Linked DNA regions of Nothobranchius furzeri. The protein of the gene in region 1 binds, or shares a complex with, the protein of each later gene. Links are inferred from orthologs where the notes say so. Each region holds a gene or a part of one and is shown in the gene's direction. Other genes may lie near its edges. The genes, in order: transmembrane protein 237B, b9d2, tmem231, b9d1 and cc2d2a.

Region 1 (5,850 bases):
CCTGTAACTATAATTATTTATTAAGGACAACTTAAAAAAGTTACATTTCCTCCAACATTCTAAAGCTTCAACTTAAAAATGTCTGGTTTGATTTGGTAAAATATTTACATCAGCTAAAAAAAATCTAACTTAATTTCTTTGATTTGGAACATCCTGTAATAATTGATTTGCTTCAGCCGCTAACTTTAGTTCACGTGAAGTAAAAAAATTGAGGTTACACAAAAACATTTATTACATCAAGTCAATGCAAAATTATTAGGTGTGGCAGAACACGTTTTTTAAGTTGAGGCAGTGCACATTTTTTCCAGTGTATGACAAACAAAAGCTTAATAAATAAAACTAATAAAGTGTCTCTGCTTTTAATACACCGATTCTTACTGACTCAGATGGTGCACCTCAGGGATCAGTCCTCGGTCCTATTCTGAAACTGCCATATTACGCAATATTTTCAAATAAATTCTGGCTGTGTTGACGGTTTCTTTTTGTCACTTTGGAATGATTTATTTGTTCAAAGGCATTTTGAGGTCAAACGAATGAAAATGTGTCTTTGTTTTCTGCAGAAAGGACAACGAGCCCTTCCCACAATGCCCAGGTAGTAAAACAGCTTTTGTTTGGGAAGTTTCTGTGAAACAGCAGAAAGAACTTTAACTAAACTTTTTCTTTTGTCTCTTTTTTGAAGTCAACACACAACAGGTGGGTCAGAGGTTCCTATAAACACATTTTATGACTATTTATTTTGATGGATTTTACTCATATTCAATATATTAACAGATCTGCCAGTCCCAAAACGGAAGAAGAAGAAGATGAGGAAGGATACGAATGGAATGAATGAGAAAGGAGGTGAGAAGCAAACATCAGGAGAGAATAAACAGTTCATTGAACGATTTTACAGCTTTTTCTTTGGGGTAGACTTTTATCTGACGTTTGCCTAAAGACGTATTTTCATGTTGGATTTTTTTCACTACTTATTAAGGCCAATTTTCTGTAGAGTGATTATTGAATCATCTTAGAACAAGACAGATGTCTTTGTGTTGGAATTTTTAGCAAAATGTCTTTTGACTTTGACTTATTTCTCAGATCAAGCAGTGGAGATGGGAGGAGTCAGCAGCCGGCGGGCGTCCCAGGTCAACGATCAGTTGATCCTCGAAACCACGATAGACACGTCAACACACTGGAGAAGGAAGAAGAAGAAAGCTGCATCGATAGGTCAGATCAGAAGACTTCTGTTCTGCAGTTTCGCCTGCAGACGCCCGCTGTGATTGCTCAGATGTACTTTACATCTGGGTTTCAGATCTAGAGGACGATCAGGCCGAACTCGGTGATGGAGACGCTGGAGATCAGACCACAGATGGGGAGGAAATGATCAAAAAACCCAAAAGAAAAAAGTATTTTTTACTAAGCAGTCAGTCAACTGTACCCAGTTTACACATTTGAGCATCAGTGTGTTTGGTGTCAGCTGATCAGATGCGTCAGATTTTAATTCCAAGTTAGATAGAATTCAAGCAGAGCTGTTTTAACAAAAACACGAAGTTACAGCAGATCTCAGCAAAGATGCGTCTCTTTCAGGAAATCAAAAGTAGCTGAGTCGCAACTTCCTGATGAGTTTGAAGTTGAAGAAGAGGACATCATCACTGACACCAGTCCAGTCCCCCAGCAGTCCTTGTTCTCAGCCCCGCAGGTTCAGAGCCAGTCAGTGGGGAAGGTGTTCATTGAGAGGAACAGTGAGTGTCTGGGAAAACGAGCGTTGAAGTGTTGTTCTCGCTAAACATCATGTTTATGTGCAGAGCGGTTCCAGGCTGCAGAACGCTCAGACTGGAGAACCACCAGTGAGCAAACGGACAACATGGCCGACTTCCAGCAGGTGCAGCCTCTGTGGACCACCAGAGACGTGTCTGTCAGAGTCCACGAAGGATTCAGGTGAAGGAAAATGTCTCCTTAACAGTAAATTATAAACATAAACGTAGAGTAACGTTCTAGTGTGTTTCAGGGTGTTCGGTGTGTATTGTCAGGGCTTCCTGGCCGGCTACACCGTGTGGAACGTGGTGGTGGTGTACATGCTGGCCGGGCAGCAGCTCACAGCTCTCACCAACCTGCTGGAGCAGTACCAATACCTGGCGTACCCGTCCCAGTCCCTGCTCTACATGCTGCTGGTCATCAGCACCGTGGCCGCCTTTGACAGGTTAGGGTTAGGTCCTCCCACTGGGGATGTTTAGAAAATTCAAACATGTTACAGGAATGCAAAAGGCAAGTACACATGAATGAATTTTGATTGGTAGAAATTCTCGTGAAATCAGCCACAACCATCGAGCCAAACGTACCAAAAGGATCATAAAATATATTCAGGATTTCAGGACAAACCTAAAGCTAAAAACTTCCTGAGTCTCCTTTTGAAAACAAAAAATAAACATAAGGAAACATCAAAGCAAAACCTGGTGTTTTATCTCAGACAGTGCCGTCTTGTGGCAGGAAAATATATTACACCTTTAAGCCCCTCTCACTGCTTCTCTGATTTCAGCTGTAAGCAACGCCTCTTGGTCGTGAGCGTGCACCCCTAGCCGGCTCAGTTTCATTCAACATTTTCGGACCTCTCGCATCTGATTGGTTAACAGCAACCCAGCTCTTCGCCGTTTGCTCAGCAACGTTGATGTTTCATCTCCACAAATAACTGGAGGAATTCTGCCGTGTTGTGGAGTTGCCAATGCTAATGGTTAGCTTCTACTAGTCAAGATGTGCTTTTCTTTCTCCGGGACGCTAAAGCAACAACAGCCACATTGTCAGCGTGACGTAGATCTGACCGGCTTTTCTAATGCGAGCGTTTCCTCGTCTATTTTCTATCAACGGCCAATGCAGGAAATGGGGTAGGAGTCTGTTTTCACGTAGCCATATTTGACCGCAGGATACGTAAATCTACTCACCAAACACAACGAAGCTTGAATATTTCTTCTGTTTGTCGTTGTGCTCAGACTGAATCTGGCCCACGTTTCCGTGGCTCTGCGGGAGTTTGTGACGCTCAGTCCAGTGGCTCTCGCTTCATTCTGTGAGTCCAAGTCATTTCCTCATAGATTATTCACCAATCTGATATCTGCTTGGTTTACCGTTCTGTTTTATTTTCTTCAGTGTATTTTTCAGCACTGGTCCTCTGTCTGAGCCAGCAGATGACCAGCGATCGAATCAACCTCTACTCGCCCGTCAACGCTACGTTATGGTGAGTCCACCACAGCAATCTCATGTTTACAGCTCGGCGTCTGGGCCGTGGAGGAAGTTCAGTCTGTCATTGCTGGGTTGCTGGTTTGAACCCAGATTCTGTACTGCAGGTCTCCTGGATCAGAGCACCAGATTCTTCACCCATGGGTAACCATCAACCTGGTGGTGGCTCTGCTGGGGGGGTTGGCTTGGATCTTGATTGCCATCAGCTCTGAGACAGATTACACTGAGGGTGAGAAACCAACACACAAACTCTAAGTACCCTAACTTAAAACGGAGACATCTAATGTAATTTTCATTCTTCAGGTTATCTGAGGTCCATGGATATTGAACCTCCAAAGCCAGAAGAGAAGTCAGAAATCACTGCCTGAAAAAAGAAATTCTGTCCATCTGCTTTCAGTAGCAGGTCTGTTAGCGCCCTGCACATATTTCTCTGGTTGAGTTATATGTTGTTTCTGTAATGTGGTTGTTTCTTTGTAAATAAAGTTATTTTAACAAAACCGTCAAGTGTTTCTTTATAACTAACAAAATCAAATAGAAGTAAAATATTTAAATTCCTCAATTACCACTATACAAATACAAAAATAAAACATAATATTTAGATTTTAACATTCAATAAAAAAGAGAGTCAAATGCATCCAGTGTAAAGTAGTTCTGTCTCATATAAAATAGAATATAAAAGCTTTTAAAGTCAACACATGGCATATGAGGAAACTACAGATGCAGCTTCCCTCATTCATCGATATAATGAAATATTTAAATCAACATAATGGGATCGATAGAGCATTTTGTATTGTCTGTTCTCCTTGATCTCAGCAGCACTTGACACTATTTCCCACAGCACCCTCCTCAGCAGTCTGTCATCTAGAGATTCAACAGAAGTCATTCAAATCCAATCGTTGGTGTGCCCCAGGGCTCTGTCCTGGGGCTCCTTTTTTCATAATTTAGCTCCTCCCTCTAGGTTACATCTTCCATAAACACAAAATTAAATTTCATTGTCACGCCAATGACACCCAGCTCTACCGCTCAACCAAACCCACAACTTCACTTGCACCCTCCTCTATATATCTGTCGATGGCCCTCCTCCCTGACCCTCTGACTCCAAGAAATTCATTCCTGGTTCACTTCCAATTTCCTCAAACTCAACAGTTCTAGAACTAAAGATCTCCTCGTAGGCACGCCTAATACTCTCTCCAAACAGTTTCCCCATCACTATTGACAATTCAACAGTTACTCCGTCTCATGTTAAGTCTCTTCTTAACATGAGGGTCTCTTAAGGGTGTCATCTTCGACAGCACACTTTCTTTTCAAACTCACATCATCAATATTACCTGGTCTGCCTATTTTCACCTGCGTAGCATCTCCCGTCTCCGTCCATCACTTATCCCTCACACCACTGATATCCTTGTCCACAGCCTCGCCACATCCAGGAGAGATTACTGAAACTCACTTCTGTTTGGTCTCCCCAGCAAATCCCTCCATAAACTGCAGCTTCTACAGAATACTGCAGCACGTGTCAACACTAGGACTCGTCCCCCCCCCCCCCCCCCCCCCCCCATTCTGCAACAACTTCATTGGTTACCCATCAAACAGAGAGTCAATTTCAAAACTCTGCTCATCACATTCAAAGCTCTCAACAACATTTCTCCATCCTACATATCCTATCTCCTTCAAATCGCCACTCCTGTCCGTTCACTTCGTTCCTCTTCTGCTCCTCAGCTCGCCTCGTCACCATGGGAAGTAGAGCATTCAGCCGCTCTGCTCCCCACCTCTGGAATTCTCTTGCCCCTGACCTTTGCACCACTCATTCTCTCCCTCTTTTTAAATCAAAACTAAAACCCCACCTCTTCTGAAAAGCCTTTAGCTCCTAGTTAAATTTCACAGTTTTTTTTACTTTTATTTTTAAATTTAAATAGTGTTTTAGATATTTTTGTACTATGTTTATGTTGTTTGATTTTATCTCCACTGTTGTAAAGTGTCCTTGGGTGTCATGAAAGACATTTTAAAATAAAAATTATCATTATTATTATTATTATTATTACTATTTATTTATTTATTTTTACAGGTAAACAGTGTATTTCACTGTTAAAGAAGGATTACATCAGGATAAAATAACAGTAAAGAGCTAAATATGTCAGCTAAAATTATATTAATTAAAAAGACAAGAGGAAGAAGTTTAATAGTCAAAGTGCACGGAAACAATCATGCATCGATCGATTATTTCTGGGTTTGACTGCCTTCTGTGACTGTCCAGGCTGTGTAGTTGAACACTGATAAGCAATGTTGACGTGGTAACCATACACATTCTATATGGTGGTGAAAATCTTTAGTTTACTTGAAAAAGGGTTAGTAACGCAAATATGCTGGACTTTGCCATCTTTGCGGTGACGTTTGTCATAATTTTAGTCGGTGCTGTTCTTTATTTGTACCCGGTAAGTCACCGCGATATCTACATTAGCATCGTTACACTCTCACGCCAGACTTGTATAAGAAAACGCTTGATTTAAAGTTTCTTTTGTTTTTCTCTAATAAGGTTTGTTTTTATGTCACAGTTGAAGAGGCGCAGAATATTTAAAATTTCAAGATAGTTTCGGCATACGCTTAATCTAAATTTCTCCAAAAAATATTTGATCAAACACAACTTTG
Region 2 (5,930 bases), on another chromosome or scaffold:
ACAACAGCCTTTCCTGTTGTGAGCCTAGATGGGCAAGTGGCTTTTGTAATCCGAGCGTTTCTGAGTCTATTATCTATAAGCGGCTAACGCAGGAAATAGGGGTAAAAGGCTATTTTTCCATTTAGCTTGCATATGAAACTGAGTTATTTCAATAATAACAAGTAAAAATACGATGTCACTGTGAACTTGTTTTTTAAAACAGAAATCCAGTCTTTTCTCAGGGGGCATCATCTAGACACAGAAAACAGTATTGCACGTTAAGCCCCTCTTCAGCTAAAGCACATTGTTTTCCTATTATTATTATTCTCATGTTATATTGTTTATTATTTTCTATATATTAAATATTTACTTGTCAATAAGAAATGTCGCCAACTCTGCATCAGTCTAGGTACTTCTGCAAATGCACACAACGCTCTGTGATTGGCATCTGTACATAAGTGCAGGGTTTCCCCCAGTGCTTTAAAAGCCTGGCGGCCCGCCAGGCTAAGCGTCATGCCCCGCCCCCCTCCCCGACCCTACCGTGTCCGCTAACATGAACGGCGCAACGAAACTAGAGCTGTCCATCAGCTGATACTGGTGAGAAACAGCAGAAGAACGTGTGCAACCCCCCGCCTCTGACGGCCGAATCTGCCAGGCTTAACTCATTTTCTGGGGGAAACCCTGAAGTGGCTGTCTAACACTATTAGCTAATGCTGATCGACGCTCAAGCCAAACTGCATGGGGCTTTTTGTGATGAGGGTGTTAGCAAAATGAAAAACTAATGCATTGCCTAAATATCTTACAGAAAAGGGTAAGACTATCACATTTACACATTTCTAAAAAAAAAAAAATCATACATAATTCAGGCTAAGGGCGAAAACTCCAAACTGCTGCTTTAAAGATAATTAAATGTCTTTTATCTTTTGTTACCAGGGTAGTGCTGAAGCATCTTATGGGATCTGATGTCCCACACCTTCACAGAGTGGTCGGTGCTCGCTGCAGCAATGCAAGTTCCACTGGGATGAAAGTCCACATAGTTTGCAAAACTATGGGAAAAACGAGAAAGCAATTAGATCCAAACATATAATTTAAAATGCATCTGAACAAGTTCCACACTTTTAAACATGAGCTGAAGTTCCTTGTTATGTTCTAGTTCCATAGTTTTTCTGTTCTTATCTTGTACACAGAGTAGAAAATTTTCTGTTTTTTTTTTACCTTGTTTACTGACAGTTTCGGCATCAGCAAACATGGTAAAAAAGAACAGAAACTTTGCTACTCTGTGTACAAGATAAGAACAGAAAACTTATTAAAGTTAGAATATTGAATATTTTAATAAAAAGCTATATTTAAAAAATATTTAATTCCTCTGCGGGGTGTTCAGAGGTGTGCAGAATGGGTGTACAGTTTCTCCTTTTAAAGCTATACATAAAAAGAAAAATAACCCAATTTTGATTCTGTCGGCACGACATTGCATTTATGTTTACATCTACCAGCCACTAGAGGGCACCGTTGCGCTAAAAAGTCCACTCAGCAAGGTGAGGTTGGGACGGTGTAAAATGGCAGACTTGACAAGTCAAGCAGCTGAATCTGAGCCCAGAAGATGTTCTAACGGTAAATACTGTTGTAAAATAAACTTATTAGTAGAAATCAGTTCTGATCCTGTATGATTTGTCTCTGAACTTGGTGCTGGAACGTGTCAGCAGTGAACCAACATCCCAGCAGCTGGAAAATGTGTCCTGTTGTTGCAATACCACCTTTGAACACCAGAGTTTGCCAGATTGTCCATGTTCCATAGTCAAACTTTAAATGAGCTAAAATTCAATACTGTAAGATTTACCTTTAAATACACTTCAGATAAAAATATTAGACATATCTTCATACTTCTACTCTTTCTTGTGCACTCATCAATACATTTTTTATACATCTCGAGCTCACCCAGCATGTTCAAAGAAAGAATGAATGCACTCTCTGCTGTTCTTGTCCCATAGCTTTATAGTTCTATCATCACTGCAGGACACAATTAAACGATCATCTGGAGAAAACCTGGAGAAAAGCACATTAAAATTTTAAAATTAAACATTTGAGAGGAAAAGTGTAAAAAAAAAAGGTGAAAACTTGACATCACATATTAAATTTTTTAAACACTTGTACAACACTTTACTCATCATTACAAATATCACAGGGAAACTTGCATGGTGTGGTATTAAATGGGAGTGTGTGTGTTTCATACTTGGCACAGCGGACCCAGTTGATGTGCTGGTTAAGAGAGAAGAGGAACTTCTGCCTGTGGACCGTCCACACTTTGATTGTTTTGTCATTAGACGCTGTGACCAGGCTCTGTCCATCACCGGAGAAGTTAACACAACGCACAGTGGCAGTGTGAGCCCTGAATTCAGTTGAATCAGCCTTCCTGCAAACACAAAAGGTATTATTCATACATAAAGCAGACAAACACACTGTTTATTCAGGGCGCTGGTATGATGAAATTAGAGTAATCAGCAGATCTTGTTCTTTTGCCTTTAGGAATCCACAGCTTTGTCTTGAGTGATAATTTCTGGAGAAACTTGATGAGAAGAAAACAACATAAAATGCTGCTACGTATAAACTTACATGCTGGGCACCCAGAGACGTACAGTTTTGTCTCTAGAGGCCGAGGCCACAAGGTGACCAGATGGAGAAAACTGGACAGAGTTTACAGCTTCTCTGTGTCCATCGAAACGATAAGCTCTCATCTGAGGCTTCAAGTTCCAGATCATCACACAAGAATCCATAGAGCCTGTGACTGAGAAAGGAGGAAGCACAAGCTGGTTGAAGCAAGAGATTGGTATTAACTACAATGTGCACACAACAAACTGGATAACAGGTGAATATATAGACGGACAAAGGCTCAGATCAAATAATAATAATATTACCAATTTGTTTCATGTTGCGGCTGAAGTCCACACTTGTCACGACGTCCCTGTGACCCTTGAAATTTCTCTCTAGGGTTGGATCAGACTATGATGAAATCAACAGAGATTTTCAATTATTTTACAAGTTTATGTTTGGAAATTATTTTTTCATTTGTTTTATGACCACTTTTGTTATTAAATGATATTTTCTTCTTTTTTGTATTTTATGTTTTATTTTTTATGTAATTTTCATTGAAGAACTTCATGATTTTCTTTTCTACAATAGGTTCTATATAAATAAATTTTACTTTCTTTAGTTATCCATTGAGTTATATAAAAGTTGCAAGATGAACAGTCATCAGGAAAAGCAGGAGAAAGCATATCTAAATAAATAGCTTTTTAGAATTTATAACCTTAAAAAATAAAGCACCATTGAGATGTAAACAATACATTAAAAAGTACAGTGCACTTCATTTGCCATCTTGTTGAACTTGCGCTGTTAAATAGTTATTCGGAAAAAAGTAAACCAGCGGTTCTTGTATACCCTTTATTCAGTCTTTCAGGTATGATTGTAATTTATGTAACAGCTGCTTCACGTCATTAATTAAATTGGTTAAAATTCGTAATTAGTTTACTAAATTAAAGGTTAAGTAATATTTTTTTAGCAAGAAGATATAAAAATGTGTCTCATTTGCCTTCAAAAATAGAACCAGCCCTAGACAGGAAGTGCTGCCTGACAGACTCTGCTCAGGGAGTGCTGTATTAAGAGCACACTATGGCAGGCTGGGTTACCAAGGAGACGTGAGCTGCGTTTGTTGCTCTGTAGCCTTTGATAAAAGCGGGCTCCGTGTGTCGCATGTTCTGGTTAAAGCGGACAGCTGTGAAATGGCAGAGCTTCACATTATAGGACAGATCATCGGGGCCAGCGGGTTTCCTCAAAAAAGCCTATTTTGCAAATGGGAAGTTCATACGGGGGGAGCATGGCGTCTTCTCTCGGGGCTGAAGGAGGGTCAGACTCAGGTGGATTCCCCCCACAGCGGAGAAATGGCTTACTGGAGCCACCCAATTGATCTGCACTATGCGACCAAAGGTCTCCAGGGCTGGCCGAAGCTTCATCTGCAAGTGTGGCACCAGGACTCATTCGGCCGCTACCAGCTGTACGGATACGGGTACTGCCACGTTCCCTCCAGCCCCGGACATCACCGCATAAGCTGTGTGACATGGAGGCCGCTCGGCTCCTGGCAAGAGCAGCTAGCACGAATATTTGTCGGCGGAGGCCCCCAGCTCCGCAACCCGGATCTGATTTACAGTGGAGCGGACAGATACAGACTGCACACCGAGGCCATGGGCACTGTGAATCTGGAGCTGGGCGTCATCATAAGACACTTTGACAAACATGGCGTCGAGAGCTGAGACGTCAAATAAGAATGTTGTATTGATTGTTTTCTTATAAAAAGTTTGTTTTGTCGCAAATGCCTTTGAAAAATTACACACGGCAAAGTTTTGTACATTTCTATGCTGATGTTTTTACACCTGAAATACAGCTATAAATAAACACTTATCATTGAAGTTGGTTTCTTATTCATCTACCGTTTACCATCAATCCAACTATACCTAATATTTCATATTTGTAACGTTATGAATATTTGAACATGTGTGTGTGTGTGTGTGCGTTAACCAAAACAAGTAGTCTACTACAAATCAGACACGAACTTCCTCAGTTGCTACAGTAACAAGTGCTAGCCAAACTCACCAGTGCAGAAGTCATTTTTCCCGGTATTTAGCACGTACACCCGAGTAAAGAGGCTCGTTGCTGCTTTGGCTATTATGACCGAAATACAATTGTTCTCAACTGTGGGTTTTGAAATGAACAGAGGGAGGAAAATATCGCTCCGGTAATTGGAATTGTTTTTTCTAATGCTAGCTGCTAACAACAGAGTTCAGTTTACGCGCCGTGATTGGGCGCTGAGCTGTTGGCCAGAGTCCTTAAAGGGGACGCTGGACATTAAAGGACGTTTGTGTCGAAAAAAGACTTCAATCAAATGTAAAAACGATGAATAACAAAATAAGAAGTTCCGGATTGTACAAGCAGTTATTTTCTTTTGCACAACAAATCCAAATGACCAAGGGGCACACGAGTGTAGTAACCAAATATGACCACAAGATGTCAGTAGCGGTGCAGTGATGTTTTGGAACAAATGTTTTTTTTTTTTTTTTTGCATTGACGGGGAAAAAACATCCAAATTAAACAATTGGATGGTCTTTTTGCAGAAGTCAGTAGCTTAATTCTAAAATAACAAAATAGCCCAATACAGAAGTTACAGTATAAAATATTTTCTATGCACTCCTAAGAAATTGGAATATGCGGAGATACATGCACATAAAAAGTAAAAAATCTTTCCATTATGAGCTGTAGGAACATTTTACTTCCTTCAAGGCCCTTTCTTCTGCTTATTTGTGTTTAAAATATGACTTAACACATAATAATATACACAATTCAACAGTAAACCATCAAGACATGAGTCTTTTTAGCCTCTCAATTTGTTGTCTGCTGGGTAATACAGCTGAGAGCATCACTTTAGTAAATATGCCTCATGTTGCCATAGCTTATAGAGAGGTAACCTGACTGAATATAGGTCAGATGGTCTTACTGAACTGTAAAATATCTTGTTTCGTATTCTTCAGCTTGTTTTAAATGAAACAAACACAAAAACAAAAAGATAAAAACCACAAATTTTTAGAGCCAATACAAATTATGTTTTTTGATTGCAACTTTTTCAGGATGTAACCGTCTCTGTTGACCATCTCAACATAAACATTGACTTAAGTTCAATCTCCCTTTAGACTGCTCCATCTGTAAGGTTAGTGTGTCACATGACAAGACACACCACAAATGGTTTCATAACTCCGTAACTTTGATCATGTTGCTGTGACATCACTGAATGAATATGTGTTTTGTGTTTTTATACCTTGTATGTTGTCATGACTGTTTTTAGAATGTTGTGACATACTATTAAGGGGAACCAGAATCCTGAAAATGGTGATCACATACTCCTTGAG
Region 3 (6,024 bases), on another chromosome or scaffold:
GAAGATGAGGTGGAGAAAGGAGTTGAGTGGAACTGTATCTGACGCTCTGAGCAGATAGAGTTCACTGCTTTAGTTTCTTCTCATTTCAGGTTTCTGGATAAAACGAAGCATTTACGAAGAACAGCCGGTTGTGAGGTTCCAGTACGAGACTTTGCTGTTAGCAGCAACCAGTGCTCAAGGACATTATGTTGCCTGGAGCACTTTCCCTTTCCTTAACAACATGCTTGGGACCAACCTACGTATCCCCACTATCTCTGTAAGAAAACTCAACGTTCCTCTCCCTTAAGTTATTTCTGAATCACTGGTAAAATCTCTGCAGCTTTGATTTCATATTTTACACCTAAAAGGCTGAGACTGACTGCCAACCAGAGCAGGATGAATACTGTTGAAGTAAAAAACATGCTGGTGCTCAGCCAGCCAGCAGTGAGTCAGAACACAGAAAATTCACATAAAAGACTTAATAGGTGCTTAATATTTGTGAAAGTGAAAACATAAAGAAACCAGAAAAAGCTAAAACACATTTTTACTCTAAAGGAGGATCATTCATTTCCACGAGTCTCTTGTGCCTCTGCAAGATTGTCTTTTGTAATTATGTATTTTTGTTTTGTAAATGAAAATTGTGTTTTGTTTTCATAAAGGTGAGAGAGGAGGACCTGAACCAGGATGGGAAACTGGACCGTTTGAACCTGCAACTGCAGCTTCCGCTGAAACCTGATGAACAAGTTTACAGCATTCAGCTGCTGCTCACCTTCAGCTACCAGCTCTTTGTATGTATCCCACTCCAGTAGCCGTCTCACAAAGAGCTCTTTCCATGCAGAGGAAGAGGATTTTTATTTGTGTCCAACGTGCTTTGAAGAAATATTTCAGCCACTTCGTCTTTGCATTAAAGGGACATTATGGAAGTGTGACAGCCAAAACATGTATAGAAATAATAAATGTCTTCTTCATACATTCTCCTGCAATGCCCTGGTCCTGTAGAATGAGCCCTGGCATTTTTACTGTGATTGCCTGTTTTTATGTAAAATCACAGAAAAAGAGAGATGCTCGGGTCGAGCAGGCTGCTTCATGCGCGTTCACGCTCAGGCATCGCCCGTAGCGTTTGCTATCCGTAGCTTTAGCAGCAGAGAGAGAGGCAGTGCCACTTTGTCGCTGTTCCTAACGCCTAGTGACAAAGCTAGCTACATTTCTGAGGACCCTTAGCTACTTTCTGTAGAACTTTCTTCTAGATATTTCCTGCTAATTAGCAACAAAATAGCCATTTTCACTCCGAACCGTTCTTTGAACGTTGTTTCAGCTGTCATCAAGGATATAAATGTTAGACAGTCTGAATGTTACTAGAGTGTAGCTCACCTTGTAAGATATCTGACTCTCGTGCAGAAGACCTGGGTTTGATTCTGGATGTGAACATAGTTTATTTAGAGTTTATTTTTTACATTAATGGTATATTTTTTACAGTAAGATGCCCAAATTTTTATTTGAGACTCGCTGAACGGCATTGAATTCACAGATAAAAAAGATGTGGGTTCAACTTTCATTTTGGAACAATTTTTCAAGCAAGGGAAGGGAATGATCTGAGCATGCAGGAGGACTGACCCGTCATAAACCTTTGTCGGCTGTGCTGAAGAGAAAGGTACAGAACCAAATTATTTAATTAATTATCTGTGTGTTCTTTTGTCCTCCGGGCCACACACACACACCTACACACACACACACGGGACTGTCTCAGCTGTTATTTTCGTTAAGGAGTGTGCACGTACAGCGTGCACGCCTCGTGTACGAGCCTACTACTGAAGCTGCTGTTATGCTTTTGGCCTGAGGGGGCAATCGCAGGCATTAAAATTCAAAAGTCCGAAAAGTCCCTTTAAATTATTGTTGTTTAATTTAATAGTCAGAGCATTTCTATTTCTCTGGTTTCTGCTAGCGGATGTCGACAGTGGTGATGCAGAGTCTGGCTTATGTGCAGCACTCCTCACCTGTACCTGGAGTTAAACTGTTCATCAGTGGAGACCTGAGGCTTCAGCAGAGGACACCGCTTCCTCATCGGGGCCTGTACAACATCTACAATGTGAGAATAGTGTTTATTCCTTATTTATATTAATTTATCCATCCATTGTCTATACCCGCTTGTCCATGCGGGGTCGTGGGGGGGCTGGTGCCTATCTCCAGCAGTCTCTGGGCAAGTAGGCGGGGTACACCCTGGACAGGTTTCCAGTCCATCACAGGACAAACAACCATGCACACACACCTGCGGGCAGTTTAGAAAACCAATCAGCGTGACAGTCGTGTTTTTAGACTGTGGGAGGAAGCCAGAGTACGCAGAGACACCACACATGCACAGGGAGAACATGCAAGCTCCATGCAGAAAGACCTCAGGTTGGGATTTGAACCCAGGACCTGCTGCAAGGCAACAGCGCTAGCCACTGCTCCACTGTGCAGCCCTATGTTAAATTAATATGTTAAAGTATTATTTTTTGTGTTTACTGACCTAAAGGTGTCAGTGATCGATGGCACCAGCCCCTTTGCAAGTTCCTATGACCTCAGCAACATTATCAGGAGCTACCAGGAGAGAAACGGTAAGTAAGCAGAGGGATTTATTCTCTGCCGACGCCCACGGTCTCGGGTTTTGTATAATGAAGTATTTATAATTTTATAATTGTCTTTTCTTTTTTATTTAGTAACAACTGTGCTGTCTTGTCCAATGCCAGTGTGGACTATAGGACATGCTGCTGGTTCACCTTTTGAGCTTAACGCTGAAATCCGCTACCCGCTGGAGCTCATCAGATATCCTTTCATATCTAAAAGATCACCAAAAGGTGTTGTCTTGTGACTGATTTACCTTTTCGTCTTTAGGAGACGGATTACATAAACCATGACTCAGAGTTATAATTCTTCTAACGTTTTCTTAACTGCCTCCCTCCACTTATCGTCCTGGCTTCTGGGAAACCATCAAGTTTGCTTGGATCCAGTATGTCAGCGTTCTCCTCATCTTCTTGTGGGTCTTCAAACGCATCCAGAGATTTGTCTTTCAGAACCAGGTTGTAACAACCGTACCCATACCTGTAGGAAAACCTCACCTGTCGTGATGCAGAGCTGAAAGTTTATCTTTTAGGTTTTGACCAGATGACACCTTTTGTCAATTTGCTTCATGTCTGTAATGTTTGTTCTTTGGACTTCTCGTTGTTGATTCAGCTATATGTTATTGTCTAATCTGTTTATTCTGTAGGCTTAAGCATTCTAAAAGATGTTGTTATAAGATCATATACATCCTGATCTGCATCGGGGAACAAACTGTTCTTCTTTGTCACATTAAAACAACTTACACATCGTAGATATTACAAATCCTATGTTAAATTACGTGAGTTTCAACAGTTTAGTAACTTTTTTCATCTTATGTAGATTTTTCAACTTTTTTCTTATTTTTAAATCATTAAAAAAATTTTGTTTGATTTTAGCGGCTCAGTTGTAAAGAACATAAGGATATATTTTCTATATTGTTGTTTTTTTTTACACATTTGAAACTGGTTTTGACAAAAATAAAGACTTTTTAAACTTATTATAGCTTTACTGGGTATTTATTAAACAACGTGTGAAAGGAATGAGTCGTTTGGAACTATCATGAGTAAAATAGGAGTTCTCGTATTAAAGCTGTTAAAGCACAACTTCTTTCCTAGGATTAGTTTTTAATCACGTGTTTGTGCTTGATGAAAAAGATTCAGTGGTCAAATAATGTAAAAACTAATTTTCACAGACAAAACTTCAAACATGTAAGCAGGCTTATCCCTATAGTGAACACAGTGGTGGCAGCATTATGGTGTGGGGGTTGTTAAGAAGCAGAATGAAAGAGACTGTTGAGAACTGAGGCCTAAGTAAATGCAGCCAAATCCTATAATCCTCTGCCTCTCCTAAAATAAAATAAATCTGTGAAGATGACAGCTCTGGTTTTCATTTTGAGAGTGTTGTGGATTCTTAAAAAATTCATGCAGCAGACTAAAGACTTGATTCAGCTAATTTCCGTTCTCTACTTTGTCTTCTGGAATCCTGACACATTCTGTTTATGGCGGCAAACGGATGATGCACATTCAGAACGGGGGATATTGTAATCTGCTGTGTTTTAGAAACTAGAATTTATTTCCTCTCAGGAGGTGCTTGGCAGCGTATAAATGCATGTTTGTTTCTGGGATGTGAGGGTGTGTTTGGGTCCGGTTCCACATGTGTTAGATCACTGAAACGTCCCAGCTCTGGTTCAGGGTGGGACAGCTACAAGAGTTACACCCATCTAATTACAACAGCTTCAACATTTTAGAAAAATGTGTATCTACTGTACTTTAGACAACCCCAACTTGCAAAATCTTTTTGAGAAAGTCTCAAAAGCAAATTTGTTTAGAACTTTATTTGCTTATCTTTGAGCCAGTAACCACCTTGATCCCTCCTGCTTGTGCAGCTAAGTCTCATTCTCATTTTACACACACCTCTCAGTAGGTAGTTTGCAGGTTTTTTTACCTGAAGGTATTTAATTCTCTAAGTAGCTTTCTACAGATTCCCACTCTTAAAACAAAACTAATAAATCTGGAAAAGTCATCTAATATTTACCAATCAGCATCCATTTTGGCTCATGTGATATTTAGACACTGCCAATAAACTAGTTAACTTGTTGAAAACATACACAAATTTCTCTTAAAATGAAGAATTTTTGCATTAAGATTTGAAAATGTGCTCCATAACTTGTGATTTTAGCACGACCAATAAAGCAACATGGCAACGTCAAGTTCTTGTCGAGGTCTGGAAATCTCACTTGTGTTAATCCACCAGATTTTACAGGAAACGTTCCTGTTCACAAACTTCATATGGAAACAAAAACACATGGTTTACTCCGCAGATCACCTTAGCTTGTGAGATTTATAATCTCGACAGCAACTCGAGAGCTTCTTTACAAAACCTTCAGTTGCTGAGATGATAAAGTTTTATAGCAGCAATAAAAAAAGATTATCTTACCTGATAACAGTGCTTTCACACATTGTTATGCACAGCATCTAGTCTAAATGACAGCTTTGTTTCCTTTTTGAATAAACCACTGACTGTTTTAAACTGATTCCAGATCAGCGCTTCAGGGAAACGTCCCAGCTCTCTCCATCCTGCTTTTCCTTGTGCTTTGAACTTGTATACAGAGCAGTGGAGGACAGGATATGAGTCTCCTTGCAGGAACCAGGTGCATCCTTTTCATTCAATCCTTATTTTTCCACAACAAAAACCACGTGACCCATCTCCTGCAGGATGTTCATCAAGTCTCAGATTCATACCAAGTGTGTCTGTTTGGGTTCAATTTATATTTAAAGGGAAATATCAACATGTTTTTCTCTTTATCTTTGATGAATCTATTTACAAAATAAAAGCTTTCATAGTCAGGCTGTGTGATGTGGACACAGATAACAACCAAGTTATTTTTCTCCTCAGAGTGAAAAAGAAGAGTCGAACTGATTGTTTATCAAGTAAGCACAGATATGGACAAATGGGAATACAATTGTTGGAAAACTAGTTTCAGAAAAAAGTCAAATGTCAAGAAAAAGTCTAAAGTAGGCTAATTCAAGAATAGCCCAAAGACGTGAAACCCGCTTATTAATTCAGCTTTAACCAAGGGTTATGGGTGGGTTTTAATGAGTAAACTATAGAGAATTAAACATTTTATTAACCACAACACACAGGATTACCATCAGTCCTTCACAATAAGAGTCTGAAACATACACAAGCACCTCAATACATTTGAAACATTTCAAGATAATTTATTAATATTGTTCTCTGGTAAAACTCTTAACACTTATCTGTTTACAGCTTTTAAACGTTTGTCTCAAAATGGTAGTTGGACTTTATTCTGGAAATATTTTAACTTTCCCCATCAGCATTTAAACTTCAGTCTCACACTTCCTTTTTCTCCCTCAGTGGCCCTAATAGTGGCAACACTGTAAAATACAGCAGAAGTACAGTCTCCTAAGTGTAAGAATACTTTTATAAACTTCTCTTTTATTAAAC
Region 4 (7,032 bases), on another chromosome or scaffold:
CAGATACATTTTTTAAATAAAGTACTTAAACACCTCTATCTGCTTACGTGTCAAAAGCCCTTTTTGCAAGACCCCCCAAATCGGCGTAATCTTACCACAACGGTGTGTCTTATGAACGCGCCATTGCATTGTGCGAATTGTGCATCATTCTTTCCACTTTGCTTGGTAGTAATATTGCGGTAATTGTCTGCCTCATAAACGGCGATTGCACCTTGGCGCAACAGAGGGAGGCGTCATGGTGACGTGGGGAGTTACTGCCGAGCTCCGGCTGGCAACTATTTTTGAAAATGAAAGTAAATACGAGCAAAATGAGCTGAGACTGAAAACTGGAGCACTGCAGCGATCCTGGGGCTTCTCTCCGTTTGAGCTAGTGGTCAGATCACCTGAGGCTGCACGGGGGCTGTGGGGGACAGGCACTATTAGGAGCGGCTTGTCAAAAAAACGTAATGAGCCGGGCTTCGATCACAATAAAAAGCACGTTTCGTCCAAGTTAAGCAGAAGTCCATGGCAGTACAGGGGTCTCCCTCGTACCCTGTTTATGCCACCATCACATAATCTTTTGTAAAAAAGAACACGATTGCACCACATTACCGCCACGGTCTGACCACTTATGAACAACCTACGGCTCCCAGATGCCGCCACAGCGTTGTGGCAAATTGACAGCATTGTTTTGTAAAAACGGTTAAAGAAAAGCCCAAATCAGAATTGTCTAAAGCCATTTAAAGCGAGGGGAGTTTTCCTTTCTAATGTCGCTACATGCTTGCTGTAAAGTCTCTCACACAAGTCAGTGACTCGGTGCAATCTGCTAGGTTTCCTTACATTTAATTAATAGACATAATGACTTGAACTCAATCAGAATTAGTGATGCACCAATATGAAATGTTTGGGCCGATACCGATATCCGATATAAAGATCACTGTTATGGCCGATAACCGATATTTGCCGATACTGAAAAACTGACATTAATGCTTCTAAAATCAGCAGATTTTGTATAGAATGAAAATGATTAAAGCTGATTTTACGTTATTATGTACACACAACACACACATGTACGCTTCTGATATGATTACATCCACTGTGCACATGACTAAACAACCACACATCACCCCTCACCCTCTGAAACAGGCAAACAAATGGAGATGAGATGGAAAAAATATCGGTTGTTAATATCGGCTCGCTTTTATTTATCGAACCGATACTGATATGTTAAAAATGACTAACATTGGCCGATACTGATATTGATGCCGATATATTGTCCATCCCTAATCGCAATGTTTACTTTGTGAAGTGCCCAGAGACAACTCTTGGCGCTGTATTGGTAAACTGAACTAAATTGAGCCAAACAAGGATCACTGATTGGCCTGACCAAGAGTTGTTTAGGCCACAGAGTGTGGGTAGACCGACCTGCAGGGTAAAATATTTTTGAACCGCATTGGTTTGTCTAGTTTTCTAGGCTTATGCTCTCAGAACTTGCCTTCCCTGTCTTCCTGTCATAGATTCAACAAGGTGTTGGAACCCGTCCTCAGAGATTCTGGTCCATGTCATCCCACTTTTACATCCATGAGGGGAATCTCCCATTCCACCACATCCCAAAGATTCTGGACCAGACTGAGATTTGGTAACTGGAACCCATGGTCATGTTCCAGATCCAGTTAGAGATTATCTAATCTTTGTGACATGGTGCATGATCCTGCTGGAAGTAGCCATCAGAAGATGGGTCCAAGTGGTCAGAAAGGGTTAGGCTAGATTTCTAAATGCATCGAGTTCCTGCCATATGATCGCGAAGATCAAAAAAGAGCTGGAGGTGAAAAAGTGATACAGGTGCTGAGCTTGGCAGACAAAATGGGAGATAAAAGGAAGCAGGTGCAATAAGAGCTGCTGTTTATGGAGCTGCAAAGGTCAGAAGACTTGGGGTGGGCCCTGGAGACAGCAGGAAGCACTGTGTGGGAGAGAGCTGAGAGAAGAGCAAAAAAAAAAAGGTTGCTGGGTATGAAACAGCTGAAAGAAAGAGCTGTTTTTGTCACATCTGAAACAAAACACAGTATTTAGACACACGTGCCAGAGGGGTTTACATACTTTGGAATGCAGATTTTTTGGTTTCATTCATTTCTGATTTTCAAGCATGTGGCGCAGTAGGAAAAGCAGACATCCATGTTTATATACAGCACTGGAGGTGTCCAGTTAGCTGGAAATTTTAAGTTAGGCTTCTTGTTTTGGATGTTGTTTTGTTTCAGTTATTGTTGAACAGACATTGCAGTCCTTTGGGCCTACAAAACAATAAAACGATGGTTGAGAAATAACATTTTCAGGGCTGGTAATAAGGTTAAAAAACGATTTTCAAACATGTTTGGTCGTGAAGTGATTTCAGTCGTGAATGAGAACGAACCTGCATTTTTAAAAGTCAGTGTATTTGATTTTGCTACCCTCTAGTGGACGCCTAGACAATTAAACCAGAGTTTTTATATTGTTTCTCCGCCTTCTTTTCTCCTTTTAATAAACTTCGGGTGTTTATAAAAATAAGTATTTTGACTGAATTTCTTGAATTACTTTTTGCTCTATTTAAAATTAATTTTAACACGTGATGGCCCAATATCACCAATAAGAATTGCGTTTAATTTTATCCAAACCGGTAGCCATAGGGAGGAGTAAACGTTGCCTTAGCAACAACCTCGGATCGCTTCAGACTGACCAAATTAGCTCGACTTATTTAACAGACTTTTACTTTCTTGAACCTCTGGAGTCACGATGGCAACAAACAACCCGAGCGTGTTCCTCCTCACGGTGAACGGGCAGATTGAGGGAGCGAACGTAAGTCGTCTTTTTAGCTAGTTTTAGCTTAGCTGCTAGCGTTAGCATTAGCAACAATGGCTCGTTTGGTGCTTCATCCGGGATGTTCCGGGTTGTTTATGGTGATGTTTGTCTTTTATTTCAGTTTCCAGAGCATGACAATCTGTACTGCAAATATTGTTACGTGTACGGCCACGACTGGGCTCCAACCACAGTGAGTATTACAACCATTAGCATTTAGGATGAAACATGAAGTATGCTTGTTGGGTACCACTTTACAATACTAATACATTTATTATAGTGATGTTATTAATGTTTTCAACGTTTTAAAGCCATTAAGTGTTTATTATGCACGAATTAAGGGTGAGAATGAGACTAAACTGGCCGGATTCTTGCCGGTATACTTCTACTAGACTGTATGTATTACACAGATCAGACTGCTATATAAACAATTTATTAGCATATTATAAAAACATAACTATCACATGACGTCAAAAGTGTAAAAAACATGTAACTTTCTGAAATGTTTTAATATAGAAACTAGAGGAAATATATGGGTGATCAGATATGGCTCACTATTGGGCAAGATGTCTCTTTTCCACTCTTCGTTCATGTAAAATAAACGTCTTGGGTTCTGAGAGCACTTATTGTGCATTTTTAATTTTCATCTATCTGTTCTGGATTTGTAAGACCTCAGAAATATATTATTTAAAGCAAATACTAACTGATAATGGATTTTTTTTAGCTCTAAATTAAAAATAATTAATTACGTTTCCTTGAGTAATAATACAATTTTGTAAGATATAAACAAAATGATATCTCAAGGCTTTTTCCACATATGTGGATGCTGTGTTTACAGATGGGTTCATAACAATAAACCTTATTGTTAAAGATGTTCAATATGCTTTTTTTTACGGATAATACTACGTTTGAACACGAACCCACACAGATGCAGACAGTAACAAACGAAACCTCAGATCAGCCATATTTTGATGTGTTTGAGGAGTTTGATGTATAATGTGAGCATGTTATGCAAAGGTTGTGTCATTCAAACAGTAAAAAAGATAACTCAACGATGTTACATTTTAATGCCAATATCGGACGATGGTATTGCCCAATAACGTCAGACGTGACTTTCAAGGATACAGAACAGGGTTTATAGATAGTTAATGCAGCGGTGGCTGGATGGAGTTGTGTTGTAACGAATGTGACTCTCCAGGGACTGGAAGAAGGAATAACTCAAATAACCTGCAAAAACAGTCAGACACAGAGATTAGTCTGGAACTTTCCTCTGGAGACGACGTTTAAGAGCACAAATCCTTTTGGGTGTGAGTAGATCACAATTTCATCATCATCATCATCATCATGTGTGACTCTTTAGGATTAACGCCGTTTGTCCCCCAGGGCCTCAGCTGGTGGTGAGTGTGTACGGACCAGATGTGTTTGGTAACGATGTGGTCAGAGGCTATGGAGCAACGCACATCCCCTTCACACCTGGACAGTCAGTATTACTTTCATGTTTGACCTAAAAGCATACAGAATGTGTTACTTCGGTTTGAAGATACAGATCTGAATGTTTTTCACTTGTCAGACATAAAAGATCCATCCCCATGTTCGTTCCCGAGCCCACGTGGAGACTTCAGAAGTTCACAGGGTGAGATCGGTCTCCTTAGCTGTTGGAAACCCGTGATCTTTAGAGGAACAGTAAATATTTCATCTTCCTCTCATGTGGAACGCAAGCTTCCAACACAAACACACGTTTTAAAGGTTCATTTTTGACTAATCTTTGTCACGTTTGGATACTTTAGATTCACACTCGGGCTTGTTTGATGTTGCTCTCAGTCTTTTTAGTGTTTTTCTTTTCATTTTTACCATGAAAACTGAATATTAATGTGATTATTATTAGATCTGATGGAGTTTTTTGCCATTTTGAGGAGCGTTTTGTGTAAAACTTACTAATTATCTGGTCAGAGAAACAGACTGTGCATCCTAGAGGACTGATGAGCCACATCCAGGCCTCTAAATGTCATAGATCGCCATGTGAGGTCATTTCACTGCTGTCAGGTTCTCATCACATAGACATTTTAGCAGAAATATGAATAAATTCCTGCAGGACCTGACCCCTGATGCACCAGAAATGCTAGTTTATTGGGGATGTTTACATTTGTAAAGAATGTGATGAACCACAGTGAGCTTTAGCAGACCTGTGCCGTTTTAGGACAGCAGCAACTGGGACTAGCCATTAGCACGGCCTTCGTGAAGGATGCAAATTATTCAGGAAGCTGTGAACTGTTTCAGAGAAACACGCTAAAAGATCCTATTTCTGTTCAGCTGGCTGCTGGGGCGGCGGCCCGAGTACACAGACCCTAAGGTCGTGGCCCAGGGTGAAGGCAGAGAAGGTTAGTGGTGCTTTTTCTTCTTTTACCTTTCTAGAATAAAACTTTTAACATATATATATTTTTCCGTTTCAGTGACAAGAGTTTGTTCCCAAGGCTCTGTAACCGTCTCCTTTCACATCATGAGTAAAGACATGAAGAAGATGGGCTACGACGTGGGACCGTCACACGTCCACTCTGCCACGCCGGACTGAGCCACACCAACTCCTCCACGTGGATTTAGAGCAGTCAGCCACAACCTCTGAACTCTGAGCTGACTCGCCTTTTGGAAAACAACCAGTCAGAAACCGACACAGGAACACTAGAGGGGCTGATAAATGGATGCTCTGACTGTAGTTATCTTCTCACGGAGGTCACATGGGAAGGTGGAGTCTGGATGATGCTGTGATTGATCCTAAAGCTGGCATCTGACTGAGCTGTAGGGAAAACATGGAGTCACCTGGAACGGGTTCCTATGAAACTTTGACCATATCAGTCATGAATTTCAGGTTTTTTCACTAAATGAAACTAAACTCGGCTTTTCCAGACACCTCTAAATAAACTCACACAGCACCATTAGTCGTTTTCTGCTCTCGACAAACATGCCAGTGGTCGTAATGTAATGCTGATCCAGTGGTTATTCCTGTCATCCTTTAAATATGTAACGTCTCTTTTCTGAGTTGTGCTGATTTGTATTTGACTAAGTCAGGGGTGTCCAATCCTGGTCCTGGAGGGCCGGTAACCAGCAGGTTTTGTGGTTTTTCTGATTCAAACCGCTTGATTAGCTGGTTGAATCACCTGTGCAGCAGCTCATCAGGCTCTGCAGAAGCCTGTTTATCACCTGCTGATTGAAATCAGGTGTGTTGAAGCAGGTTAAAACAAAAATGTGCTGGACACCGGCCCTCGAGGACCAGGATTGGACACACCTGGACTAAGTAAATCTGAGTGGTGCTGACCAGTAATGTTGCAGACTGAAACAGGAAGTGAAACACAATTTATTTTGAACTGATGCAGCTACAGTCGTCCTCGTCCAACAGGGTGCTGCCCGCGCTCGTTTGTTTTAGGTGCCGTTAAAATACCACAATGACTTTTCCTACAAAAATAATAAACCCATTACACAGAATAATAAGGTATACAGAAGAACAGTATGTTACAATAGTACAAATGATAAATTATATTATACAGTTGTAATGCCATCGGGTTTAGCACAAATGAAAAACAAACAAACAAAACCAAGCAGCCTGCTCCCAGTACTACACACAGGGCAACTAGACGAGACATGAAGGAATAAACGAGTCATTTTATGCCAACAAAAACAAAAAAAAGCCCATAAATTCATTTAGTTAGTCCTTTTGATAAAAGCTCGGTGAATATATGACACGTTTTACTGAAACATAGCCACTCCTTTTTAGATAAACTGCATAAAGTTTCCCATAAATATACGACTAGAGTTTAAGGTCTGATTAAAGATGAGCGAGAATCCCAGAATCCAATTTTTTTTTTTTTGCATATTTTTAGTGGGGATTAAAAATGCTTGCTGTTCTCTAAGTAATATAGTTCAAACCACTAATTCAAGATATCAAGCTAAAAAAAGAAAAAGCCTCCTTTGTGCCTGAGAGAAGCGGTGGAAACATCCAGTCCTGCAGCGAAGCACCAAGCCACACGGGGGCGCCATGCCACAGAAACAAACACTGGCAGTTCAATCAAAACCAACCCAGCATCACAAAGGTTAAAGAATGAAGACAAGTCGACACAACGTGCTATTTATCTTCAGCCTCCTTTTGTTTTTCTACCAGAAGAAGAGATGCAGCAAACACCCGGCCTCATTAAACAGTTTAGTAATCGTCTCTTATACCACGTGGTGGTCAAG
Region 5 (6,414 bases), on another chromosome or scaffold:
CAGTCACCCAGTCGACTCCAACAGCTCAGAGACAGAGACACCGTGACGAGGTTTGACACAAGGGTGAGGTCAACCACAAAAGAACGCTGGTTTCCAAAATAGCTGGAGAGATGAATTATTATTTAATTTAGCAGGTTGATCCAGTCGGTGCAGGAAGACATGATGACCCTCCGGTTCTTCACAACCGGATCAAGTTCAGAGAGGCTGCAAGAAGAGTAAGACACTTAGATTCAGACTGTACAAAAACACTTGTATGGAGTTTTATAATTACCATTAATATTGTACGTGCAGGTGAGAGACCTCCCAACGGCTGAGGAGTCATACAATTTCTTTACTTTCAACTTTGAGCCTGATCGTCCGAATGAGAGGCTCAGCAGAAAACGGCAAATACGAAGAAAATCTGCAGAGGAGGCCAGAGATGAGGAGGAAGGAAAGGCAGCTGAGGTGGAAGAAGATGCCGGAGGGGAAGATGATCAAGATGAAACTGTAAACCAGGTACCACATCAGTGAGAGGATTGTGCTCAGATGATTATTTTTACTTGTTCTAAAACATTCACTCTGGTTTTCTGCACCTGCTTAAGAGCGATGAAGCTCACCTGGTTCAAAATGCAGATGACTTGTTTGTCATTGATCATTCTCCTCAAGACTTCCTGGTAGTGAAGAAGGCTGAATATGTCAGTTACCACACACGTATTCAGCAGGAGAGTGAACTGTTCACACCGAGCTTTCGAACTGGTAAAACATGTGATTCACACTGGTGACGTACAGCCGGCTGCTCGTTACCTGGAACCGTGTCTTTATGATTCGTTGTGTTGCAGTGCCAGCTTCGGTCAAACTGCCTGAAAACATGAAGCCTCGCTTCCTGGAGGAGGAGGGTCTCTACGTGGGAAAGAGGCCCGCCATATCTCTGACCAATGAGAACATTCTAGAGAACCGCCTTTTGAAAATGGACGAGGTGTCAGCTTGCTGCTCTGCTCAAACAAATAACTGTCCTCATTTTGATGTTAATATTCAAACGTGTTTTTGTGATGTTTGTTTCTCCTGAAGGGAAGGAAGTGGTTTGGAGATGATGGGAGGATCATCACTCTGCCTGACCCTGTGAAAGAATCGTCCACGCGACCGCCACTGGCTGACATGGAGGAGGACCTTCATCCTGCACTGCAAACTGTTTACCGGAGGGTAGTTTTAGTTACCAAGAAATGAAACCGCAGGGTTAATAAAAGGAAGATTTTTCATTTTTGCTGTTTTTATTAGGCTTCCCTTTAGTAAAGATTTATTCCTATAAGTAGGAATAATAGGAGTCCATCCGCTGTACTGGCAGGCTGTAATTAGATCATTCTTGCTAACGGACAGGGACAAAGGGCAGATTTAGAGAAAATGCAACGCATTCAGAATCTTTTAATATACAAATGCTTCTGTAGTTTAATTGATCTCATCTTTAATCATAAACACACAAACAGACATGCAGTTAAAAACAAATGCTGAGAGTTTTGTTGTGCAGCGAATGCTGGATAATGTTGTTATCTCTGCTGTCTCTCAGCCGCTGAAGTCCATGTACGGTTCATCAGACCCCACGGGGGACTACCAGATCGATGTCAATGTGTCGGGGCTGATCTTCTCCCATCACCCTCTCTTCAGCCGTGAACACGTGCTGGCAGCTCGTCTAGCTCACCTGTTCGACCAGTATCTCACCAGGAGGCAGAGTAATCTCTCAGGACACCTCACTGACAAGGTAGACTTCACCAGATACTGTGGAGAGGTTACCACGGCCGTACCACAATGCTTTGACACAGCTGAGTGTTTGTGTCCGCTTTAGTTGAATGGTTTAAGGAATGCTTTGAGGAATGTGGTGAAGGTCCACGGTGATCAGGACCTCCCTCAGGCCCTTCAGAGGAGGATTTTTGAGTACAGCCTTGAAGTGAGGTGAGGTGGCTCATTTATGGGCCACTCCCATCGGTACCGGGCCGACCCGGGACCGATGGGAGTGGCCCATTAGATCCTAATATGTCCAGAAACATGTTGGACAGAGTTGGCAGAGTTTCCCATGAACGTTCCAGGAATACTCGACACCTGAGAGATATGGAGCAGGAGAAGGACAGAACTCTGCTAAAGAACATCATCAAAGTGTGGAAGGAGATCAAAGCTCTGAGAGAATTTCAGACATTTACTAACACACCATACAAGCTCTACCTCAGAAGGTAAGCTCTCCTGTTCCAGCCAACCCTGACTGAAAACATCATTTAGAAATTTCCTTCAGTTTTCTATTATAAATCTTAACAGAATTATGTTAATTATACTTATTGCAGCAGTCTGAAAGGTTTTCTATTCATACCATAAATGTGCTGCTTTGTTTCTTGATGCTTCAGAGAGAACGTGGACCTGGCTGCAGATGAGCACATGTACGAGGAGGAAATCCTGACAGAAGCTTTGGAGATAGAGGCAGAGCATGAGGAGGACTACCAGAAGAAGCTGGCAGAGTACAAGAAACAGCAGGAGGAGTGGAAGCGCTGGAGGAAGAAGCAGGTGTCTGACTACTGCTGCTGGAACCATCACAAACACCGTGGAGTAAAATAAGGCCAGCCTTGTTCTTGTAGGATTGCATATTTATTTTTGCACATATTTTTATATCCCATGTTTTCAGAAAGCCAAAAAGAAGAAGAAAAAGAAGAAGAAACGAGGTCAGACACAGGATGATACAGACGAGGAAGATCAAGACCAGGAAGGGAGCGAATCAGAAGGACCCTTTGAGGAAGGTCCTCCTAAACCAGAACCCCCCGAGAGGCCGGACTTTGACTCCATAGAGCAATGGGTGAGAGAAAAAGCCTCGAGGATACGCAGGAAGCCAGGAGAGGTCATTCTGACCCCAGAGCTGTCTGCATCAGGAAGCATCACACCCAGTGAACTCTGTCCCAGGTAAACCGTATTCATCACAAACTGCAACACCCCTTTAACTGGCACGTTTCATGTATTTATGGAAATGTTAGTCGATGGCATGAGAAGACTGCTTATTGTAGTACTTTACATGCTTTTATCCTGTTTGTTATGCTCTCTCGTTTAAGGGCTGAGGTTGCTCGAAGAGAAGATGTTTCCAAGCGATCGCTTTTCATCAAAGTCCTGTACAATGACAAGGAAGTTTCCCGAACAGGCAGCTGCTCCCTGAGATCTGACTTCAGGGTGCAGTTCACCCAGCTGTTCCACCTCAAGATCCTTAACTGTCCCCAGAGCATGAATCTGCAGGTGGAGTAGAGGAACTCTGAATGCACCGCAAGGTTGTTACTGCTGCAGCTGCAGTCTGTTTCTCATCAGTTCTGTGTGTGTGTGTGTGTGTGTGTGTGTGTGTGTGTGTGTGTGTGTGTGTGTGTGTGCGTGTGTGTGTGTGTGTGTGTGTGTGTGTGTGTGTGTGTGCGTGTGTGTGTGTGTGTGTCTGCGTGTGTGTGTGTGTGTGTGTGTGTGTGTGTGTGTCTGCGTGTGTGTGTGTGTGCGTGTGTGTGTGTGTGTGTGTGTGTGTGTGTGTGTGTGTGTGTGTGTGTGTGTGTGTCTGCGTGTGTGTGTGTGTGTGTGTGTGTGTGTGTGTGTGTGTGTGTGTGTGTGTGTGTGTGTGTGTGTGTGTGTGTGTGTGTGCGTGTGTGTGTTGTGTGCAGGTGTTTGAGCAGATTGGATCATCCTCCTCCCTCCTGGCTCAGGTGTTTGTTCCGGTACCAGAACCCTCAGTGGTTACAGGCAGCGCTCCTGTGGAGACGTTTGAGTTTAGCAGCAACCAAAGAGTCATGTTTGATCATGAAGGAGTAGGAAGTGGTAAATACTGTTGTTCATTTCTGCTTCACTCGCATATGTACAGTGCCGTGTAACATTCCTGTTCCCAACAAGTGTTCCTGTTAAGATTTACTAACAGGATCATTTTCAGTCAACTATGGTGTGCAGTGTCCTTAAAGTTCTCGTTCACTGAGAAACTATAATACTTGTTTTTGGAAACAGTCTGTCATGCTGAGTTTCACATGCAAGCTGATCATGAAAATAGTTTCTACCCCTATTTCCTGCATTACTCTGCCGATAGAAAACAGACTGTGTGGTAAAGCCGTACAGATCTACGTCACAGGGGAAAACTGCCTCGCCCTTCTTGGCTTGCCACCACCCACAGAAAAGCTGTATTGATTTAGCATCCAGGAGAGAGCAGAGCACATGTCAGCTAGTAGAAGCTAATCATTAGCATCTTCACAACGTGGCAGAACCTCTTCAGGCTTGTGTTGTTTGTGGAGAGAAATCATCATTTGTTACCCAAGTAAGAAGAAGGATTGAAGGCAGCAGAAGAGTCAAGTTACTGTTAGCCAATCAGAGGCAAGATGTTGGCATATCATGAATATTAATGAGTAAGTCTCCAAATCCTGCTGCGCCACCCACCCACACACACACACAGCTTCTACACTAAACAGCATACAACATTTTAATCCATACTGTAGGCCTCGGCAGATTTATAGAACAAATGATTGAATGAGAACTTTCAAAAATGAAGGCAGAGTCTGAAAGATCTTAAAACTTGCAGATTTATAGTTTAGGACTGTCAGAAATGATTGAACTAAGCAGTAGTTCAAGTCTCTTAAAGCGAGGTTTTGTTGAAATGTTACGATCGATCGACGTCTTACTTGTAGCTATGAACAGCTTCAGTTAGGAGTAACAGAGATTGGTTTTGACTAAACATTTACAAACGTTCCTAAAACTTCACAGCAGTTTATGCAGATGCTATTTTATAACCTTTACCATGCCATCATTTTTCACATTTGAAGTATTTTCTGGCTGAAATGTCATAAATTCAAGCCAGGAAGAAACTGGTCTCCTTAGTTTTAGAGTCACCGCTGAGTTTGATGTGAATAGCTGTTTAATATAAAATATATGGTGATGTAAATGTTTATGAAATAGCACTTACATGAGCTGCTAGTGTTTTAGATTAGTGTTGTTTAAAGATGACACAAACACTTTGTAATTGGCCCTACTCATACTAGCTGTTAGCTCATCGATCTGAACTGACCTGTGTTCCTGAAAACTGAAATAGTTACCTTTAACAGGACATATGCCAACTGTTTATCCTTTTCACGAAATCTCACTTGAGACCCTCTGAGCTGTCCCTTTAAGGTTTTAATCTCAACTCTAGTCTCTGTCCAAGTATAAACTGGATTTTATGGGGGCATGGGACATTTTCATGACCCTCCTTGTCCTTCCTTGCTCTGCGCCTCCTCAGATGTGCCGCTGTCCTTTGAGCCTGATGGAAGCAACAAAGTGATCCTGCTGACCTCTGGGAAGCTGGCATGCTGCGTTTCCTGGGGGATCGGGGAAGATGATGTACCGCGCGCTCCTCCTGTTTCCCAGCAGCTAGGTGCTGCACACAGGTAGTCTCTCTAGGAGAGATCCACTGGTTTAGATTCTTTACCAGTGGGGTTCTTAAACTGGGATCTCTGACGATCACAGGTGTGATCAAAGTTTTTCTGCACAGATGTACGTAGTCATAATTACACTGATCTACTGAGTGTGTGAGTGCATGCATCAGAAACGCTGCTATACACACACGTGTGTTTGACTGTACTTACTGTGATTTTTGGACTGCAGAGAATAGAATAATAATGGAAAGGCTGCATTCAGATTTGGGGCAGCAGTAGCTCAGGTGGCAGAGCGGGTTGCCTCATGATCGGAGGGTCATGGGTTCGATTCCAGCTCCCGCCAGGGGTATCCTGCTGTTGAGTCCTTGGGCAAGACACTTCACCCAACTTGCCTGTGTTAGTGGTGGTCAGAGGGGCCGACGGCGCCAAATGGCAGCCTCGCCTCTGTCAGACCTCCCCAGGGCGGCTGTGGCTACAAGTAGCTTACCATCACTAGCAGTGTGTGAATGTGAGAGTGTGTGAAAGCGTCTTTGGGTGTCTAGAAAAGCGCTATATAAGTTCAATGCATTATTATTATTATTATTATTATTATTATTCATAAATCTGTTGTGTTTTCCTGTAAGACAGCATTTAGTCTAGAAGTACAGCAACTAGCAAACACTATGAACACCATGTGGTATAAAGATGTTGGAGTTGGAAAATGATGAAATGTGGAGCCATAAAATATTTCATCTGCAGATGAAACAACCCAGTTACACGGCCCAGGTTTCAGGAGGACGTGTGTTTCCTGCTTTAGTTACTGATATTTACACATGCCTTCAGCTCCTCTCAGAAAGACGTATGGAAGCTTCAAGATTCTTTGAATGTTTTAGGAAAAGGTTTAGCGCTCGTGACTTTTGGGAATGCTGCTGAAGTGACCAGGAAGAAAAGGTTTGGAGCAACTGGTCCCAGGTGTCAGTTTTCCAGCAGTAGTAAATCCCACAGAGCACCCGTGACACAGAAGAGTCCATCATTGACTTTGGCTCTAAACATTTGGGCTCGCCTA

Evidence for each region.
Region 2: transmembrane protein 237B (region 1) and b9d2 share a complex: the UniProt entries of both Homo sapiens proteins name them as parts of the tectonic-like complex. The link is inferred for Nothobranchius furzeri from reciprocal best matches to the Homo sapiens genes TMEM237 and B9D2.
Region 3: transmembrane protein 237B (region 1) and tmem231 share a complex: the UniProt entries of both Homo sapiens proteins name them as parts of the tectonic-like complex. The link is inferred for Nothobranchius furzeri from reciprocal best matches to the Homo sapiens genes TMEM237 and TMEM231.
Region 4: transmembrane protein 237B (region 1) and b9d1 share a complex: the UniProt entries of both Homo sapiens proteins name them as parts of the tectonic-like complex. The link is inferred for Nothobranchius furzeri from reciprocal best matches to the Homo sapiens genes TMEM237 and B9D1.
Region 5: transmembrane protein 237B (region 1) and cc2d2a share a complex: the UniProt entries of both Homo sapiens proteins name them as parts of the tectonic-like complex. The link is inferred for Nothobranchius furzeri from reciprocal best matches to the Homo sapiens genes TMEM237 and CC2D2A.

The regions. Positions count from the first base shown.
Region 1 is NC_091742.1:64,214,535-64,220,384, reverse strand, and holds the end of transmembrane protein 237B, read left to right. Parts: intron 1-560; coding exon 561-592; intron 593-679; coding exon 680-693; intron 694-771; coding exon 772-840; intron 841-1,077; coding exon 1,078-1,206; intron 1,207-1,291; coding exon 1,292-1,385; intron 1,386-1,566; coding exon 1,567-1,721; intron 1,722-1,784; coding exon 1,785-1,917; intron 1,918-1,987; coding exon 1,988-2,179; intron 2,180-2,963; coding exon 2,964-3,037; intron 3,038-3,117; coding exon 3,118-3,205; intron 3,206-3,314; coding exon 3,315-3,436; intron 3,437-3,510; coding exon 3,511-3,575; 3' UTR 3,576-3,705; downstream 3,706-5,850. Other genes in the region: cyp20a1 (cytochrome P450 20A1), read left to right, coding at 5,565-5,636. UniProt on the Homo sapiens protein: Component of the transition zone in primary cilia. Required for ciliogenesis.
Region 2 is NC_091743.1:62,502,176-62,508,105, reverse strand, and holds b9d2 (B9 domain-containing protein 2), read left to right. Parts: upstream 1-3,317; 5' UTR 3,318-3,755; coding exon 3,756-4,283; 3' UTR 4,284-4,439; downstream 4,440-5,930. Other genes in the region: poc1a (POC1 centriolar protein homolog A), read right to left, coding at 910-1,025, 1,915-2,022, 2,210-2,389, 2,590-2,761, 2,892-2,976, 4,624-4,638. UniProt on the Homo sapiens protein: Component of the tectonic-like complex, a complex localized at the transition zone of primary cilia and acting as a barrier that prevents diffusion of transmembrane proteins between the cilia and plasma membranes.
Region 3 is NC_091744.1:86,204,185-86,210,208, forward strand, and holds the end of tmem231 (transmembrane protein 231), read left to right. Parts: intron 1-89; coding exon 90-256; intron 257-638; coding exon 639-767; intron 768-1,921; coding exon 1,922-2,065; intron 2,066-2,491; coding exon 2,492-2,573; intron 2,574-2,675; coding exon 2,676-2,781; intron 2,782-2,920; coding exon 2,921-3,083; 3' UTR 3,084-3,553; downstream 3,554-6,024. UniProt on the Homo sapiens protein: Transmembrane component of the tectonic-like complex, a complex localized at the transition zone of primary cilia and acting as a barrier that prevents diffusion of transmembrane proteins between the cilia and plasma membranes.
Region 4 is NC_091752.1:49,446,738-49,453,769, forward strand, and holds b9d1 (B9 domain-containing protein 1), read left to right. Parts: upstream 1-2,556; 5' UTR 2,557-2,745; coding exon 2,746-2,808; intron 2,809-2,932; coding exon 2,933-3,001; intron 3,002-4,006; coding exon 4,007-4,115; intron 4,116-4,191; coding exon 4,192-4,288; intron 4,289-4,378; coding exon 4,379-4,441; intron 4,442-5,118; coding exon 5,119-5,186; intron 5,187-5,258; coding exon 5,259-5,377; 3' UTR 5,378-5,835; downstream 5,836-7,032. UniProt on the Homo sapiens protein: Component of the tectonic-like complex, a complex localized at the transition zone of primary cilia and acting as a barrier that prevents diffusion of transmembrane proteins between the cilia and plasma membranes.
Region 5 is NC_091748.1:39,033,179-39,039,592, forward strand, and holds part of cc2d2a (coiled-coil and C2 domain-containing protein 2A), read left to right. Parts: coding exon 1-63; intron 64-131; coding exon 132-215; intron 216-291; coding exon 292-495; intron 496-581; coding exon 582-735; intron 736-818; coding exon 819-955; intron 956-1,047; coding exon 1,048-1,179; intron 1,180-1,540; coding exon 1,541-1,732; intron 1,733-1,816; coding exon 1,817-1,923; intron 1,924-2,057; coding exon 2,058-2,198; intron 2,199-2,366; coding exon 2,367-2,523; intron 2,524-2,641; coding exon 2,642-2,913; intron 2,914-3,059; coding exon 3,060-3,237; intron 3,238-3,641; coding exon 3,642-3,795; intron 3,796-5,233; coding exon 5,234-5,381; intron 5,382-6,414. UniProt on the Homo sapiens protein: Component of the tectonic-like complex, a complex localized at the transition zone of primary cilia and acting as a barrier that prevents diffusion of transmembrane proteins between the cilia and plasma membranes.